2 linked regions of the Lytechinus pictus genome follow. The protein of the gene in region 1 purifies or fractionates together with the protein of each later gene. This does not show direct contact. Links are inferred from orthologs where the notes say so. Each region holds a gene or a part of one and is shown on either strand. Other genes may lie near its edges. The genes, in order: cytosolic iron-sulfur assembly component 2B-like and threonylcarbamoyladenosine tRNA methylthiotransferase-like.

Region 1 (9,522 bases):
TCAATTGTATCATAATTGTAAATATGAAATTGAAAGTGGAAAATAAAATAATTGAATTGAATCTAGACTCTAAATAGCCGGCAGAGGCCGCCGAACGGATCAAAGGGGGCTGTTGCACTGACCCAAAAGTCTTGTTTTCTTTTCTTTTTCTAGGGGGGGGGGCGGGTGGGGGCAGAACATGGTTATTACAATTTGATGGTAATTTTTACTGGTTGAGTATGGTTACTTAAAAAAAATAACTGTCACCACTAATAGAGTACATTTCTTGTTACAAATTTCGAGAAGCAAAAAAAAAATCTTTTGTTCAAGGTATAATACGTAAGGGGCCGGCCCCGGCCCTCATGGATCCCCGTGCCTGTTTTCTTCATTTGGCGTCCGTTTCATAATGAATTACAGCTATTTAATCATCGCTGTTATTGTGATTACCGTGGTAACCTAGATTATGATTGGTTATAGCAGTTACCATCGTAGTTAACTACGATGGTAACGGCTATATATAACCAATCATTATTACCATACTTGTAACTCATGATGAAACGTGCCCCAGTTTATCATGTTTAATACGTTTCCTGTCCCCTCTATTCTCCAGCATTTCTTGCTCTGTTTTTCCATTTAATAATTTTCCCACTCACGTTATTTTGGTGCCGCCTTTCTCCTACATATATTTCCTTCTTCTTTTCCCACTTGTTATCTGTCTCCTGGTTTCCATAAATCTCGTCTTATTTCTCTTCCACCCCTTTGTTCCTACTTCCCACCATTCGTGCTCTCTTACCCCCCCTCTAAATTATCTCTTCATATGTGCCCCTCCATTTCTTTCTCATCTCTTTTCAACCCCCTTCTCATCACTCTTTCTCTCTCTCGATCTCCATCTCATTTGAATTTTGCCAATTCCAAATCCCTTTCATTTTAGCTCTGTACAAATACTATACAAATGAAAGACATGAAGGCATTTTATGGTTAGTTGTGAATTTTATTAATAGCCAAAAAAAATATCACATTATCAGAGGATTTAGCCTTACTTTTTTTCTTAAGCGTATGTTAATACTTTGAATCGAACGAAAAATGTTTTTTGTATGCAGGGGCAGCGATCCTGGGGGGCACAGTTCCCCCTACTTTTTAAAGCACTGAAAAGTGCCTTTAATTTTATGTAAGAAAAATGCCCCCTCACGAACGTGTACTGTGTCCCTTTCACCTGACGAGAACCTGTTTTAGGTGTTACCAAGTGCTCTTCCTTGTATGCAAATTTTTACCAAAAATGCCCCCCGAACGTGTTCTGTGCCCTTTCATCTGAGGGCCCGTTTTAAGTGTTAAAAAGTACCCCCTCGCCTTCTTGTAAGTGCCCTTTCTCTAATAACTGCCCCCTTTTATCCAAGAAAAGTGCTCCTAAAGAATGACGAGTGCCCTTTGAAACAAGAAAACAATAAGGAAATCCTTTGTGCATTAAGTTTAATAATTCATGTGAGTGGGGGTAGATAAGCAGTTTCGTACACTACAGATGGAGGGGGGGGGGGCTTGAAGGACTCTTGCCCCCCCCCCCAAAAAAAAGGGTGAAATATATCATTCTGAATATTTTGTCGAAATCTATCACAAAATTGGATTTTCTTTTTAAAAATGTCAAAATTTTGCTCTCTCGCAACTTCTTTAAAATTTCACATAATACAGCATTTTCCCTGTGCCCCCCCCCACTTTCAACTTCACTTCGCCGCTCCTATTTGTATGTTTATAGCTTTTCCTTTTGCAACCAGTTTTAATGAAAATCGACAGGAAATTTCATACTTCATGAATTTGGGGTTGTGATGATAATTAAAAAAAAAAACCTTTTCCATCTTTATCAAGTGCTTCCTAAGCTAAGTCACTCTTCAATTTGTTGGGTTTCTTGAATGAAAACATCTGTTACACCAGTCCTGCAGATTGAAAAAATAGAGAAAGAAAATCAATGAATTTAAATTAAAATTGTCATGATTTGTAAAACATAAATGTTTGAAGAAAAGTAAGACTATACATACCGGTATATAAATTTCTTCATCACATAACATAGGAAATCTTACTTCTACTAATTATAAACTTGTACTTCTACAAAGCATATCACTTAAACCTGTTCTATGCAGTTTGCATACCACTCTCCATTATAACTACATGTACTATATAAAAAAAATGTCAGAGATTTCCCATAAATATGAATATATGAATTAACATATAAATTATATATAATAGTCAGAATTAAAGATGATGTTTTGTTGCACAGAATATTTTGATCTGCGAATAAAAACGACACCTATCTATAACCTAAAAACAGAATTGAAATGTTTTTTTCAAAGGCAGGTCTATTTGTTGCCTAAAAATATTGTGAAAACCCCCCATTATTAAAAATAATCACTTATTAACTCACTCATATAACTGCTGTAGGTTGTATTTCTCTTTGTGGTCCTATCACTGTTCTATTAGGCCTACTTCACCAATTGTTTATCATCATCAATCACCTCCATGGAAATTGTAAAACTGCATCATCCTATTGGACAAAATGTAAAATAACAAGATTTAAAAAAAATCGTAAATCTACAAATATGAAATATGAATATCACACTAAAGAATGCATGAAATGAATTTTGTAAAATATGAAAAATAAATATTGCTTTGTGTAGTACGGGGTTCTGACAATATCTCATTTCTAGTACTCTTAACACAGAGGCAGCCCAGCAGACATGTTGTCAGGTTGATAACTTACTGGCCAACTCCCAGATTTTAATGACTCAAAGCCTTGTTGCATTCTTTGTAACATTCCATGCAAATTACTTAAGGCACATCAATATTCATATAAATGTAAATCAATATAACAAAGTATAACTGAATATTCAAATATACAAACAAAGGATATATATTGACCATTCAAACTATATGCAAATTATTATTTAAGCTTGAGTGCATCAACTTAACATTATAACCAATCAGAAGGAGAGTGAGAGAGAGAGAGAGGAGTGAAGAAAGCTGTATGAAGGATGGTGGAGTGAATTAATACCAAACAACCTTGTGTACAGAGTGTACAGCAGTTAATGTGTAAGAGAGAGCTATACATGAAGAATAGGAAGTTAGGATGAAAAGGGTGAATATAAATGAGGGATGTTCTATTAGAAAAAGGGGATGATTCCTGGATAAGAGTGGAAAGAAATATAAGTACAAAATCAATCCCTACACTTTGTTTATAAACAAATAGGAAATAAAAAGGCCATTTAATTACTAGTAGATCAAGGACATGACCTTATTTTATAAATTTGTCCAAGGTACATAACTTTTGGCATTGGTTCTATTTTAGACTCGAGAGCCTGTATATTAAGAAGTGTATATTCATTACAGATCCTACCTCTTTGTAGCTCAGATTATTTTTATTTAATGTAAACATGGTTAACATTCAATGCATATGCAATGTATCTGTAATTTTGTATGGGTTAGTTTAAGTTTTATACCTGGATGAGAATCTGCAAAATGATGCATGCACTTATGATCATCATCTTGAACCATATAGGTAGACCTCTACTGTTTTTCTTGTTCTTCAAACTCAACCTGTTTGTGAAAGAGAGAGAACAATAATAAGAAATGATCTTTTTCATGGCCGTATGTATAGGGGGAGGGGTTTGGGTAAGAGCTGAAATCAGAAATGTGAAAACCTTCATCAAAAAGAGAATTGCATGACATCCTTCAATTTTACTTTAGAAAATGCACAAAACGGCCCTAGGTAATATTGGTCGCTTCTGGCCCTCGCTTTCTGAATTTTAGGTTTCTCTAAATTTTTTCACATGTCTGCCCCCCCCCCCCAAAAAAAAAAATCTGGATCTTTTTATTTCCGAATCTTATTTCATTAGACTTTAACATAATTTCATAATCTCATGCACTAGGTCTAGATCTATTTGTAAGAAAGTATAGATCTAGTCCAACGAGACTCAATGCTGTGCGACAGCATTCATGTATCTAAATTAGGTCTAGATCTAGACTAACGATGGACTCTCGATCTATCTAGACCTAGAAAGTAAAGCTTCGGTTCTAAACCCTATATCGGTTTAGAAATTTTTGATGTCTGACTTTGACTTTTATTCCTGGCTAAGACTTCATTGCCATTATTGACCGAGAGTAGATCTAGATCTAGTCCGACTCCTTGGTCCACTGACAGTCATACTCGTACATGTAAATGGAGTCGTTTAGGCCCAGACCTAGATCTAGGCCTAAATTACAGACCTAGATCATAAGCCCTGGGGGCAAGTATCGAGGGTTGGGAAAGTATAAGTTAGACTAGATTTTAATTAGGTAGGCCTAGCTCTTGATAAAATGATAGCATCGATGAATAAATAAAAGTAAAGTAGCCTAGATCTAAGTATAAACATGAAGTAAGTAGGGCCTAGGATTAAGAAGATCTAGGTCATAGATCTATTGATAATAAGACAAACATGCAGAGCAGCATGTTATTTCTAAGACCGAGTCTATAAATTTATGAATAACAATTAACCCAGAGAGCTCCCGCCCGCGCAGCGGGCGGGAGCCCAGAAGCTTACCGTGTATTTTACCATTGTCACCGGACTAGGGTGATTTATGGTCTAAATATTTCTCCAAATGAATTGTGAAAACGGAAAGTATACAATTACCACGATTATATGGATGAAGGTCTAACGAGTGACAGATTCCTGACATCTGGGCACAGTCTGGTACCTCAAAAAAACGAAAAGTTCTCTCCTTCTACCCAGTCTCGATCGGCCATTTTGTTACGATTTTTAACAAAAATGGCCGATCGAGACGGGGTAGAAGGAGAGAACTTTTCGTTTTTTTGAGGTTCCAGACTGTGCCCAGATGTCAGGAATCTGCCACTCGTTAGACCTTCATCCATATAATCGTGGTAATTGTATACTTTCTGTTTTCACAATTCATTTGGAGAAATATTTAGACCATAAATCACCCTAGTCCGGTGACAATGGTAAAATACACGGTAAGCTTCTGGGCTCCCGCCCGCTGCGCGGGCGGGAGCTCTCTGGGTTAAATAACAATAAGAGTTAAAATGGTGGGGGCTAAATGCAGAAGCCTGAAGTTATGCAAAATAAATTTGATATCTGAAAGTGAGGACTGACACAATGTCAATGACAGGCGTATCTTCATCCACACTCCGCTTCACAGTTTATTCCTGACTGAGTCTCGATCTACTGAAGACAGATGCAGATCTCCCTCTAGATCTAACGTTACAGTGTACAAAAAGAAGCCTCATTCTTCTTGTTTTAATCAATCGTGGGTTGGTCCTTGTTGGAGGTGAACCAAACCAGCCCGATTATCTCTCGATTCCCAGCCGGCTAGGAGCCCGTACAAAATACACTGCAAGCAACATACTGGCTGCACTGTGCGACGATGACAATCTAACTTCAATTTCAAAGACCAAATTCTGCTTTCCTTTAACAGAAGAATGATAGCAAACTCTCTAATTTGTTAAAGAAATAACCTAAGATCACAAAATACAGTGTGAAATGTGTAAATAGTCCACTGAATTCATGTGGTTATATCAATTTATACGTACTCACCGGAGTGTTCGTAGGTCCATTTTGTGTGTGGAAAGAAAAGTTTCAGAATGAATAAATTAGATGACGTAATGAGGTCAAATGAATAATTATTTCTGTAACACGATACCACTAGTATCGATGACAAGGAATCGGGGAAATCGCGTATTAATGACGCTCTTAGCCAATGAAAAGGCCGGATTATGAATATCTTCATGCTCATGAATGTCAATGAGGGCTTATTTTTGTCTTCAAATGATCGCGGTAGGCGGAGCCTAATCTCATTTGTTTTGTGCTGAACGCGCACGCAGCTTTCGGTCTAGTAATATATTATAAGGTCTTTGCTCTGTACCGGCCGCGTACGTACCGGCCTGACGTACTACCGCACCACCGGCCGTGCATACCGGGCCGGACGGCGAATATTCGGGTACGTGGGTCGTCGAGGTGTCGTTCCTTCTTCAAACCTTAAGATGTCGGGGCGTGAACAACTGGATAATGTCAACCCCACGATTCATGGAAAGCTTGATAAAAGACACATTCTACCAGCCGAAGAAGATGATGATATCGACGATGCCATCGACACAAGAGAAGTGTTTGATATCCTTTAATTATTTCAATAATATTATGATCAGTAGAGGCGTGGCGCACGGCCAATATTAACCCAGAGAGCTCCCGTCCGCGCGGGCGGGAGCTCTCTGGGTTAGGCCAATATGGGAGACTCTATTACTAGAGAGACAATCTCCCACATTGGAGACTTGCTTTGCAAAGGACAAAAGAAACAACAACAACAAAAGCATAATTTTTTCCACCCAAAATGTTGTCTCACTGAGGTCAGAAGCCCATTTGTTTTGTGTGTGATTGACAACAAATATCCTTATCAAAACAAAAGTAGACGGTGAATTTTTAAAGTAGATGGTGAAAAGGGGTAATTTTTCATGAGGAATCTGCTTATCACATTTTTATTTGCCGCCAAGTTAATCCTTTTGCAGCAAATGTAAACAAAGGAAATTGGACTCCAAAACTGGAGACTGTCTCTGAAATTGGCTGCCCTGAAATTGGATACCCAAATTCTTTACAAAAGTCTCTGATATTATTGGAGATAATCTCCCACATTGGAGACAGTCTCCAATATTGGCTGTGCGCCTCTACTGATGATGGGCATCCATCTAGTCTTGAATTTAAACTTTAAAGGTCAAGTCCACCTCAGAAAAATGTTGATTTGAATCAATAGAGAAAATCAGACAAGCACAATGCTGAAAATTTCATCAAAATCGGATGTAAAATAAGAAAGTTATGACATTTCAAAGTTTTGCTTATTTTTTACCATGTTTACAAAATAGTTAGGCCTAGGCCTATATGAACGAGCCAGTTACATCCAAATGAGAGAGTCGATGTTGTCACTCACTATTTCTTTTGTTTTTTATTGTTTGAATTATACAATATTTCAATTTTTACGAATTTGACGATTAGGACCTTGCCTGAAGCACAAAATGTTAAAATAATGGAATTCCACGTGTTCAGGGAGGAATGAAACTTAATTTCACATGACAATGACGAGAAAATAAAAATATTTCATATAATAAAATACAAAAGAAATAGTGAGTGATGTCATCAGTTCCTCATTTGCATACCGACGGAGATGTGCATATAACTGTTTTGTAAAATGAAGCAAAACTTTAAAATGCCATAACTTTCTTATTTTACCGTGACATCCAATTTTGATGAAATTTTCAGTGTTATGCTTGTTAAATTTTTCTCTTTTTATTCAAATCAAGTTTTTGTTGGGGTGGACATGTCCTTTAAAGAAGAAGAAGATGTTTTATTAATATTTAGACATATATGGTTGTGGATCGTATTACCAAACACTTCATGAATTCAATCATATCAAACACATTATTCTCGTGTAATTCACCGAACTTTTTACCATAAATCACTTGTTCACTGCAACCATCCTGCCTGTGGGGAATCTACAGGTAGAACTATGGTATGCCAATGCTGTACACAGCACACAATTTAAAAAATCATTAAATTTTCACTTTTGTGACCAAAATTACTAATTTCCATACAGTTGCAATTTATTTTTCATTAGTAACCAGGGAATAATTTTTGTATTCACCTGGGGCCTGTTTCTCAACACCTGGACAAGTTAGTCATATCTTTATCCACCAACCACGGAGATAGTTCCAATCTTACTAAACCTGTTTCTCGAAAGGCTTCCTAACTAGAATACCTTGATATCAGATATTCAGATCAGATATTCAAAATTTATTGTCATGCTCAAAATAAAAATTACATTGGCACAAAAATCATATTCCGGCTGTTGGTATACAAAGAACAATATATAACATATAATAAATAATTACAAAAATAATGGCATTAAATAATATACAAAGCAAAAATTACACAAAGACCTAATACTAACCCAGAACAATATGATACCCTGCAAGGGCAGCTGCACTGAAAACTTTACCTGGTGCCGAGGGGGGAAATGCCTCGAGCACGGTGCCAGTCCAACACATCCATGGGCCCCGGTTCGACATTGAAACAATCACAACACATCACACTACTATCGGTAAAAAGAGCAGACGAGACGTAGCCTTAGTCACAAAATAGCATATTTTTCAAAAAGAAAAATTATGACAAAATTGCAAATATTTCGATGAATTGGGAAATACATCTTTTCAAAATAATAGCACATGTAAATTATGCATCATACATATTTAGACCATGAAGGTTGGAGCATTCAATTGCTGAGAAAATTAAATTATGAATAAATAATTTCATGACTAGAAAATCACATGTGGACGTCACTAGCATACCTACGGGGGGGGGGGGCAGAGGGGGCAGTCTGCCCCCCCTGACGAGCTTGAAGACCTTTATTGCCCCCCCCCCCCCTGACGAGCTTGAAGACCCTTTTTTTTTTTTTTTTTTTTTTTTTGCTTGTCAAATTTTTTTCTGGTACGAAATCCTTCATTTGTGATTGAAGACCTTTTTTTTTTTTTTTTTTTGCTTGTCAAATTTTTTGGCGGACGGTTTTGCCCCCCCTGTGAAAAATCCCAGGTACGCCACTGGTGGACGTTGAGATGGGTACCCCTGGGACATCAAATTTTAATAGTTTACGAAAGTAAACCATAACGGTGGTCTTTGTAAAATGATGATAATTATAAGCCCTTCTACGATTCCAAATATCATCAAAAATAAATCTTTGAAACTGAAACATACGATTTGACAAATTCTATGCATAGATTAGAGATCAACATTTTCCTGAGGTGGACTTGACCTTCAAGAACAATTTCAGAGTCAAATTGGCTGATGAGTTAAACCTCTACTTTGAGATATTGATGTCACAATTGGCCATCTGTATTTAAACAACAACTTTAGACCAGAGTTTAAATAAAATCTGACTTCAGAATATGGGCCATTGGGTTTATTTCCTGTTTATTTGTATATTAGAGAAACCTTGAAGAGTACTCAGGTTTTGTGATCTATGTCAAATTTCCTTGACTAGATGTTAACATTTGATCAGAAACATCAATGACCCTGAGCATCCTCTGACATTGGAAGAGTTGAATGTTGTGCAGCAAGCTGAATTAGAGGTATGTCTGAATTCTTTTCTGACTTGTGTTATGATGTCACAACTCACAGTGATTTCATGATTATGTTACGAGTCATGCAGTATGAATTTACAACTTTGTCTAGTTTATTTAGATTATTTGTACTAACTTGTCGTAATTTGCATTTACTCTTTTATAGACTATGATTGGTCCTCATATAATAACCACCTTTCAACCCTCCCTCAGAAATTATCTTTCTGTTTTAACATTTTTTTCAACACCTAATATCCCACTTGCTTTGTATTTCTATGTCAGAATGTTGCCAAGGATTGTTGCACCATGTCTGGATGAGCCTTGATGTGTGTGTATATGTTCAATCATAAAATAATAAAGGTACAGAATGTACAGGTTTGTTCTCTTCTGATCATTTGTTTTTTTTTGTC
Region 2 (9,427 bases), on another chromosome or scaffold:
ACGAGCATCTGTTTTTTTCATGTGAAAAGACGAGAGATAGTCCAGTAGAAATTTTTCAAAACTGGAAAAGTTGTTAAGTACAAGGTTTTTTTGTTGATTTGTGTTCTAGATGGGTATTGAAGTAAATTCAGCTTGGTTGCCACCTTGGTAACCTTGAGCAATTTTTATTAGCCTAATTAGCATAATCATCTAATTAGCATATTACGATATGTAATATGCTACTTCTCTTAAACCAGAAAGATTTTTTAAAAAATGTAATTTTACTAAGAGGTCCCGTGACGAGGAATCGATTTAAAGCAATAATTTAAATATTTAAGTTATGCAATTATCGTAATAATCCCAATTAGCATAATGAGCTAATTAGCATTGAAGTGCAATATGTATATTTGTGGATGTCTATCCAAAAAATGCCCAATACGTAGACAATGCATCCCTTTAAGGGTTTTTCTATAGCGAGGAATTCATTTATGACCATATTTTTCAATTTTAACCAATGAAATTGCTGTAATTAACATAATTAGCATAATGCACTAATTAATATATATATATGTATATGTGTAATACATATAAAAATATATATTTCTTTGTCATTTCATATCGAGAATGTCCGCAAACATGATTAATACAGCTACATGTACCCTAAGCTAGTTTTATATGGCGAGGAATTAATTTATGACATTATTTTCCCTTCTTACCAATGTAATTGTCGTAATTAGCATAATTAGCATAATGCGCTAATTACCATATATGTGCAATATATACATTCTTTTGTCATTTTATATCGAAAATGTCCGAATACATGAATAATACAGCTATCCCATGGTTTTCTATGACGAGGAATTAATTTCTGACATTATTTTCCCCCTTTTTACCAATGTAATTGTCGTAATTAGTATAATTAGCATAATGCGCTAATTAACATATATCTGCAATATATATATATATATATATATATATATATTCCTTTGTCATTTTATATTGAGAAAGCCTGAAAACATAAACAATTACAGCTATCCTATGGTTTTCTTTGATGAAGAATTCTTTTGTGACATTATTTTCCCCGTTAAACAAATGTTATTGTGTAATTAGCACAATCAGTATACTGCGCTAATTAACATAATTACCAATATAATTACATATGAATATATATTCCTTTGTCATTTTATATTTTAAAAATGCCCTAAAACATAAATAATACAGCTATTTCATAGTTTTCTATGACGAGGAATTCATTTATGATATCGTATTTCATTTAAACAATGTTAATGTTGTAAAATTAGCTTAATGATTGACATAATGAGCTAATCAAAGTGGATCGCCTCTGGCAGTCTCGCCTGCATTACGCGATTTGATATAGCAGCAGTTTTGACTTTGAAAACAGCTATTGCATAAAATATTCACGTAAGAAGAATTCATATGATGTCCATCGATCCAAAATGGCCTTTGACCATGATCAAGTGACCTAACATGTGTGCAAAACAATCCTTGATTACCCATATGTTTATGTTTCATGAACTAGATCCATAAACTTTCTAAGATATGATGCCAAGTTAAAAAATACCCCCAACATGGCCAAAGTTCATTGACCTTACATTACCTTTGATCTTGGTCATTTAATTGACCTGACATGCGCACAGGATATACAGGGATCGGCCTACATGGTTGCACCAGGACTTCCCTGGTTGCACTTATGTCCAAGTTTCATTAACTACATGTGGATCCATAAACTTTTAAAGTTATGACAATTCCATAAATACCCCCAGCATGGTCAAAGTTCATTGACGCTAAGTGACCTTTGACCTAGGTCATGTGACCTGAAACTAAGACAGGGTATTCAGTATGACTTGATTACCTTTATGTTTAAGTTTAATGAACTAGGTCCATATACTTTCTAGGTTATGACAACATTTTAAAAACTTATCCTTGGTTAAGATTTCGATATGTATTCCCCCAACAAGATCTTAGTTCATTGGCCCTAAATGACCATTGATCTTAGTCATGTGACCTGAAACTAAGGCAAGATGTTCAGTAATACTTGATTACTTTTATGTCCCAGTTTCATGAACTAGGTTCATATACTTTCTAAGTTATGATGACATTGGCATTGCTTATTTTATATATCAATGTTGACGACGCTGCCGTCGCCGCCGCCGTCGGAAAAGCAGCGCCTATATAAATACAGAGACAACGAAATATATGTATTGCACCTGTATTTTAATTACCACTAACCATATGTTAGTGATATATTTTTCATGTTTTTCAGGCGCACTCGATAAAACTAACATAGAACAAATGAAAAAAAATGAAAATCCATAATTTATTGTTCGAAATAGACATGAAATGAAATAGTCCGAAAATTTGCTATGCCCAATTGATCATGGGCCCGGCGGCCGCTGTGCAGCACCAGATTGACGAGGTTCTATCCCTTTAATCATTGAACGTCAAACAGGGTAGCAGCAACTCCCATCTTTAACGTCTTTTGGTCTGACGCGGGCGGGGTTTGAACCCCCGACCTCCCGGTTGTGAGACGGACGCTCTACCAACTGAGCCAACACACCGGTCATAGGAATATATACTTGATATATTGCACATAGATGTTAATTAGTGCATTGAGCCAGTAATTCTGATTAAGGCATTGGTTAAAATGGAAAATTACTGTCATAAATGAATTCATCAACATAGAAAACATTAGAAGAGCTGTATTATTTATGTTTTCAGGCTGTTTAATAGGAAATTTTATCTCCTCTCCAATTAAATGTTGGGTTCTTGGAAGTACCCCCCCCCCCTCAAGCCAAAAAATAGTTTATGCCCCTAAAACCCAGTAGGTACAATACGGTAATATATATAGGCCAATTTCATCCCCTCTCGAATTAAATGTTTGGTTCTTTGAAGTACCCCCCCCCCCTCAAGCCAAAAAATAGTTTATACCCCTAAAACCCAGTAGGTGCAATATATATAGGCCAATTTCATCCCCTCTCCACTCAAATGTAGGGTTCTTGGAAGTACCTCCCCCCTCAAGCCAAAAAATAGTTTATGCCCCTAAAACCCAGTAGGTACAATACGGTAATATATATAGGCCAATTTCATCCCCTCTCCAATTAAATGTAGCGTTCTTGGAAGAATCCCCCCCCCCCCCTCAAGCCAAAAAATAGTTTATGCCCCTAAAACCCAGTAGGTACAATATGGTAATATATATAGGCCAATTTCATCCCCTTTCCAATTAAATGTTGGGTTCTTGGAAGTACCCCCCCCCCCTTCAAATCCCTAAAATAGTTTATGCCCCTAAAACCCAGTAGGTACAATACGGTAATATATATAGGCCAATTTCATCCCCTTTCCAATTAAATGTAGGGTTCTTGGAAGTACCCCCCCCCCCCTCAAGCCAAAAAATAGTTTATGCCCCTAAAACCCAGTAGGTACAATACGGTAATATATATAGGCCAATTTCATCCCCTCTCCAATTAAATGTAGCGTTCTTGGAAGAACCCCCCCCCCCTTCAAGCCAAAAAATAGTTTATGCCCCTAAAACCCAGTAGGTACAATACGGTAATATATATAGGCCAATTTCATCCCCTCTCCAATTAAATGTTTGGTTCTTGGAAGTACCCCCGGCCCCCCTCAAGCCAAAAATAGTTTATGCCCCTAAAACCCAGTAGGTACAATACGGTAATATATATAGGCCAATTTCATCCCCTCTCCAATTGAATGTAGGGTTCTTGGAAGTACCCCCCCCCCCATTCAAGTCCCTAAAATAGTTTATGCCCCTAAAACCCAGTAGGTACAATACGGTAATATATATAGGCCAATTTCATTCCCTCTCCAATTAAATGTAGGGTTCTAGGAAGTACCCCCCCCCTCAGGCCCAGAAAATAGTTCATACCCTTAAAACCCAGTAGGTGCAATATATATATAGGCCAATTTCATCCCCTCTCGAATTAAATGTTTGGTTCTTGGAAGTACCCCCCCCCCTCAAGCAAAAAAATAGTTTATACCCCTAAAACCCAGAAGGTGCAATATATATTGGCCAATTTCATCCCCTCTCCACTCAAATGTAGGGTTCTTGGAAGTACCTTCCCCCCCCCCCCCCCCTCAAGCCAAAAAATAGTTTATGCCCCTAAAACCCAGTAGGTACAATACGGTAATATATATAGGCCAATTTCATCCCCTCTCCAATTAAATGTTTGGTTCTTGGAAGTACCCCCGGCCCCCCTCAAGCCAAAAATAGTTTATGCCCCTAAAACCCAGTAGGTACAATACGGTAATATATATAGGCCAATTTCATCCCCTCTCCAATTGAATGTAGGGTTCTTGGAAGTACCCCCCCCCCCCCCCCATTCAAGTCCCTAAAATAGTTTATGCCCCTAAAACCCAGTAGGTACAATACGGTAATATATATAGGCCAATTTCATTCCCTCTCCAATTAAATGTAGGGTTCTAGGAAGTACCCCCCCCCCCTCAGGCCCAGAAAATAGTTCATACCCTTAAAACCCAGTAGGTGCAATATATATATAGGCCAATTTCATCCCCTCTCGAATTAAATGTTTGGTTCTTGGAAGTACCCCCCCCCCTCAAGCAAAAAAATAGTTTATACCCCTAAAACCCAGAAGGTGCAATATATATTGGCCAATTTCATCCCCTCTCCACTCAAATGTAGGGTTCTTGGAAGTACCTTCCCCCCCCCCTCAAGCCAAAAAATAGTTTATGCCCCTAAAACCCAGTAGGTACAATACGGTAATATATATAGGCCAATTTCATCCCCTCTCCAATTAAATGTAGCGTTCTTGGAAGAACCCCCCCCCCCCTCAAGCCAAAAAATAGTTTATGCCCCTAAAACCCAGTAGGTACAATATGGTAATATATATAGGCCAATTTCATCCCCTTTCCAATTAAATGTTGGGTTCTTGGAAGTACCCCCCCTTCAAATCCCCAAAATAGTTTATGCCCCTAAAACCCAGTAGGTACAATACGGTAATATATATAGGCCAATTTCATCCCCTCTCCAATTTAATGTAGGGTTCTTGGAAGTATACCCCCCCCCCTCAAGCCAAAAAATAGTTTATGCCCCTAAAACCCAGTAGGTACATTACGGGAATATATATAGGCCAATTTTATCCCCTCTCCAATTAAATGTTTGGTTCTTAGAAGTACCCCCCCCCCTCAAGCCAAAAAATAGTTTATGCCCCTAAAACCCAGTAGGTACAATACGGTAATATATATAGGCCAATTTCATCCCCTCTCCAATTAAATGTAGGGTTCTTGGAAGTACCCCCCCCCCCCTCAAGCCAGAAAATAGTTTATGCCCCTAAAACCCAGTAGGTACAATTAGGTAATATAATACAGGCCAATTTGATCCCTCTCCACTGAAATGTAGAGTTCTTGGAAGTACCCCCCCCCCCCTCCTTAAGCCAAAACATAATTTATACCCCTCAAACCCAGTAGGTGCAATATATATAAAGGCCAATTTGATCCCCTTTCCACTAAAATGTAGGGTACTTTGAAGAACCCCCTCCCCCTTTCAAGCCAAATCCCCTCGAATTAAGATGACCTTTGACCTTGTTCAGGTGACCAGCAATAAGTTGATATTAAAAAGTAAAACTCAATTACCCTTACATTGAAATTTCTTGGGGAAAATACAATTATTTGTTAAAATTTTCACCCTAAATGACCTTTGACCTTGATCATGTGACCTTCTACTCGGTCAGTGAAACTTGATTGCCCTAATGCCAAAGTTTCAAGAAAAGATCCAGCTATAACATGCGAGACAAAAATGATGAAAACAGCTCAATCATATTTGAATATTTGCCCTTTTAGCCGTCCATACTATGCTGGGATGATTTGCTGAAGTTAGAGGCCGGTAATGTATACAGATATTTTACGCCCCTAAAACCCAGGATTACCTTAATATAATGATCACCAAAGTGTCTGTTTGTATGAATAAAAAATATGTGCCAAAGGATTCTGGAAGAAATTGTGTAATTAATTGCTGAGAAATATGCGCGGATTCTGTCACTTCCGTCGGCGTCGGGTCTTTATTCCAGCAATAATAATACACTGTCCCATGTGTGCCTATCTGTGTTGGTGATATTCAGTGTGAACGTTTTTGTCTCGCCTGCATAGCCCACTCTAGGCGACACCCCAATACTTACCCGCGTTAATAAACTGGGACTCCACTCACGCGCATTTGGGCCGCCCTAGCTTAGAACTAAGCAATATTATCTAGAAATTGTTAAACTCTAGTCATAAAATACGGTATGTTCTATTAAATAAATTGATAATGTTTAATCGGTACTCACCGGTTCTTTTGTTGCATTTTCAGACCATTTCTCACAATTCTTCGTAAATATTTGCGGCAAATTTTGTCGCCATAGACGGCTATACGTCCATCTTTATTAATAAATGGAGCGCCCTTTACGATAGTTGTTAATGCCGCGGAGAAATCGTTAGGCATTTTGGCCTGTGTTCAAGGCGTTCTTTCTGTTTTATTTTTTATATTGAAGATTGTGCATTTGTTGAATAGTACCGTCTACGTCAGGTATGAGATCGAGTGTATAAATACACTCTTCCAAAATAATTATGATTCCGACCTGGCCCTGTTTAACTTCAATCTCTTTCACCTAAATTAGCGATGAATGCTAGCATTATAAAATATATATTATTAACGTCTGACAAAAAGAATAATCAACCGATCAGCTGACGAGAACGCGAATCACGTGATCTTCATATCAGCTTCGATCGCGAGTCAGAAGTGAAGAGCAACTGCCCAGAAAATCAGGAAAAAGCCGTGAAAATGTAAGTTCCCCTTCATTTCTTTCATTTTTTGTTGTTGCTAACGATGCATTTACACTATAAAATTATAATTTAAATAAGAGAAAGGAATATAGCTTGTACTTGTGATATAATATAGAAATATCCTGTTCTCAGAGATTTCTAACCAAAAATACTAGTGATGTCGCCTATGAGGTCCATACATGTAATGTTTGGACCTCATTGTTACTAGGAGTGGCATAGCCATAGCAGAGCGAGACTATAGCCTTATAATGAGTTATAGGCGCCGCTTTTCCGACGGCGGCGTCAACATCAAATCTTAACCTAACTAAGGTTAAGTTTTTGAAATGATATCATAACTTAGAAAGTATATGGACCTAGTTCATGAAACTTGGACATAAGGTATGAAGTATACCCAGTTGTTGTGTGTCCGGACAGGTTGTGTGTCCGGACGATCAATTTTAGAAAGTCATTTGGAAAAATTTACAAGCGAAGTTTCATAAATTTTTAGTACAAAATGTTAGGAAATATTATAAAGAACAAAATAGAAGATGATTACAAGTATTGAATTCATATTTTTAGTGTAATCCAAATACAAAAAAGAAGGCTTCAAAATATTAAAGTGTCCGGACACCCGACCCCCCATCCTACTATTACTAAACATCCTGCCTGAGTTTCAGGTCACATGACTAAGGTCAAAGGTCATTTAGGGTCAATGAACTTAGACCATGTATGTTGGGAGAATTATTTTCAAAATCTATTCTTAACCGAAGGTTAAGTTTTTGAAATGACATCATAACTTAGAAAAAGTATATGGACCTAGTCCATGAAACTTGGACATTAGGTTAATCAAGTACCACTGAATATCCTGTGCAAGTTTCAGGTCACATGACCATGGTCAATGGTCATTTAAGGTGAATGAACTTTGGCTGTGTTGGGGGTCTTTGTTAAATTACCATCCTAACTCTGAAGGTTTATGGATCTAGTTCATAAAACTTGGACATAAGAGTAATCGAGTATCACTGAACATCCTGTACGAGTTTCAGGTCACATGACCATGGTCAAAGGTCAGTTAAGGTCAATGAACTTTGGCCGTGTTGGGGGTATTTGTTGAATTACCATCCTAACTATGAAGTTTATGGATCTATTTCATAAAACTTGGGATATAAGATTAATCAAGTATCACTGAACATCCCCTGTGAGTTTCAGGTCACAAAACCAAGGTCAAAGGTCAGTTAAGGTCAATAAACTTAGGCCATGTTGGGGTAATTGTTGAATTGCCAATCATTAACTTTGAAAGTTTATGGATAGAGTGAATGAAATGTGGACATGGGTGTAGTTGACAAGTCTTAAGTCACCGTTCAAATGTCATCTATGGTCAATGAATGTGGTATTATGTCATTATATGAATGGTGTTTTTGTGAATGATTATTTTATAGTAGTTTTCAAAGTTAGCACTGCTGCTATATTAAATCGCGTAATGCAGGCGAGACTGCCAGAGGCGTTCCACTTGTTTAGCTTAGATATTATGATTTCACAAAGTTCAGTTTATGTAACTGTACCAGATCTAGATCCACGATGATATAGTAATACTGAACCTTGGTTTTACAGACTTTCTCACAAAATCAGTATTTTACTGCAACTACTGTCATTTATTTAGCTTTATTTAAAGACGTTGTGTCGAGGTCCCCGGGGCAACGGTACCGTAAGCATGGTACCTAACCCAGGGAGCTCCCTGGGTTACGGCCCGCGGAGCCCGGGACTCGTCCGTGTAATACGAGGCAGACATGGGTATTCTCCAAAATGGGTTAGAATGGGGTCGCAATAGCACTCCAAATAGAAGGTGAAAAAATTAATTATGTACTTACCTCAGGTCTATCTTGACACAAAATCCTGACATAGAGGCACAAACTGAACCCTCAAAAATAAAAGGAAAAGTTAGAGTCCATGTCGCGTTCTCGGTGACGGTATCGATCTATCTACCTCGAGCGAAGTTCGTGCAGACTCCACTTCACAACCACTACACTACGCTCCACCTATCCGAAATTCGAGGCCGTAAACTCGATCTGATACTCCGAGTGACAAAGGTGGGATTTTATGGGAGGAAAATATAAAATTTATGCAACATCACGATCTTTAAAAACAATTAAAATTAATATTCTTACTTTACACAAAGTTTTACTTCTTTCCTAGACAGGAATAACCGTCGTTTCTGGGGATTTATTCAACAATTTCTGATATTTTACGATCATCCCCATTCACCGACGGTAGTGTGTTAGTGCGAGCCTGCATGAAAGAAGGAGAACGAAGAGACAGAACTTTTCCTCTTTTTTTGAGGGTCCAGTTTGTGCCTCAATGTCAAGATTTTGTGTCATGATAGACCTTCATCCATATTATAATTGAGGTAAGTGCATGATTTATTTGTTCCCCTTGTTTTTTTTTGGGTGCTATTGCGACCCCATTCTACCCCATTTTGGAGAGTGCCCTCTGCCTAATGTTACACGGACGAGTCCTGGGTTAATTTTAGCCAGGTAGGGCTGCCAACTCTCGAAGACAGTCATTTTTTTTTTTTTTGACTCATGAGACTCGTGAGAGTGAGACTCCCTCATTTGGTTTTTCTCCATTTGCATGCATTTCTATCAATCTCAACCTGCCTACTCTT

The links.
Region 2: the proteins of cytosolic iron-sulfur assembly component 2B-like (region 1) and threonylcarbamoyladenosine tRNA methylthiotransferase-like purify together in Homo sapiens (affinity purification with mass spectrometry; 3 studies listed by BioGRID and IntAct, with this or other methods). This does not show direct contact. The link is inferred for Lytechinus pictus from reciprocal best matches to the Homo sapiens genes CIAO2B and CDKAL1.

What each region holds. Positions count from the first base shown.
Region 1 is NC_087246.1:39,215,579-39,225,100, forward strand, and holds the start of cytosolic iron-sulfur assembly component 2B-like, read left to right. Parts: upstream 1-5,916; 5' UTR 5,917-5,995; coding exon 5,996-6,122; intron 6,123-9,041; coding exon 9,042-9,121; intron 9,122-9,522.
Region 2 is NC_087251.1:22,241,100-22,250,526, reverse strand, and holds the start of threonylcarbamoyladenosine tRNA methylthiotransferase-like, read left to right. Parts: upstream 1-5,676; 5' UTR 5,677-5,854; intron 5,855-5,985; exon of another isoform or gene 5,986-6,249; intron 6,250-6,706; exon of another isoform or gene 6,707-6,789; intron 6,790-7,665; exon of another isoform or gene 7,666-7,832; intron 7,833-8,957; exon of another isoform or gene 8,958-9,169; intron 9,170-9,427. UniProt on the Homo sapiens protein: Catalyzes the methylthiolation of N6-threonylcarbamoyladenosine (t(6)A), leading to the formation of 2-methylthio-N6-threonylcarbamoyladenosine (ms(2)t(6)A) at position 37 in tRNAs that read codons beginning with adenine.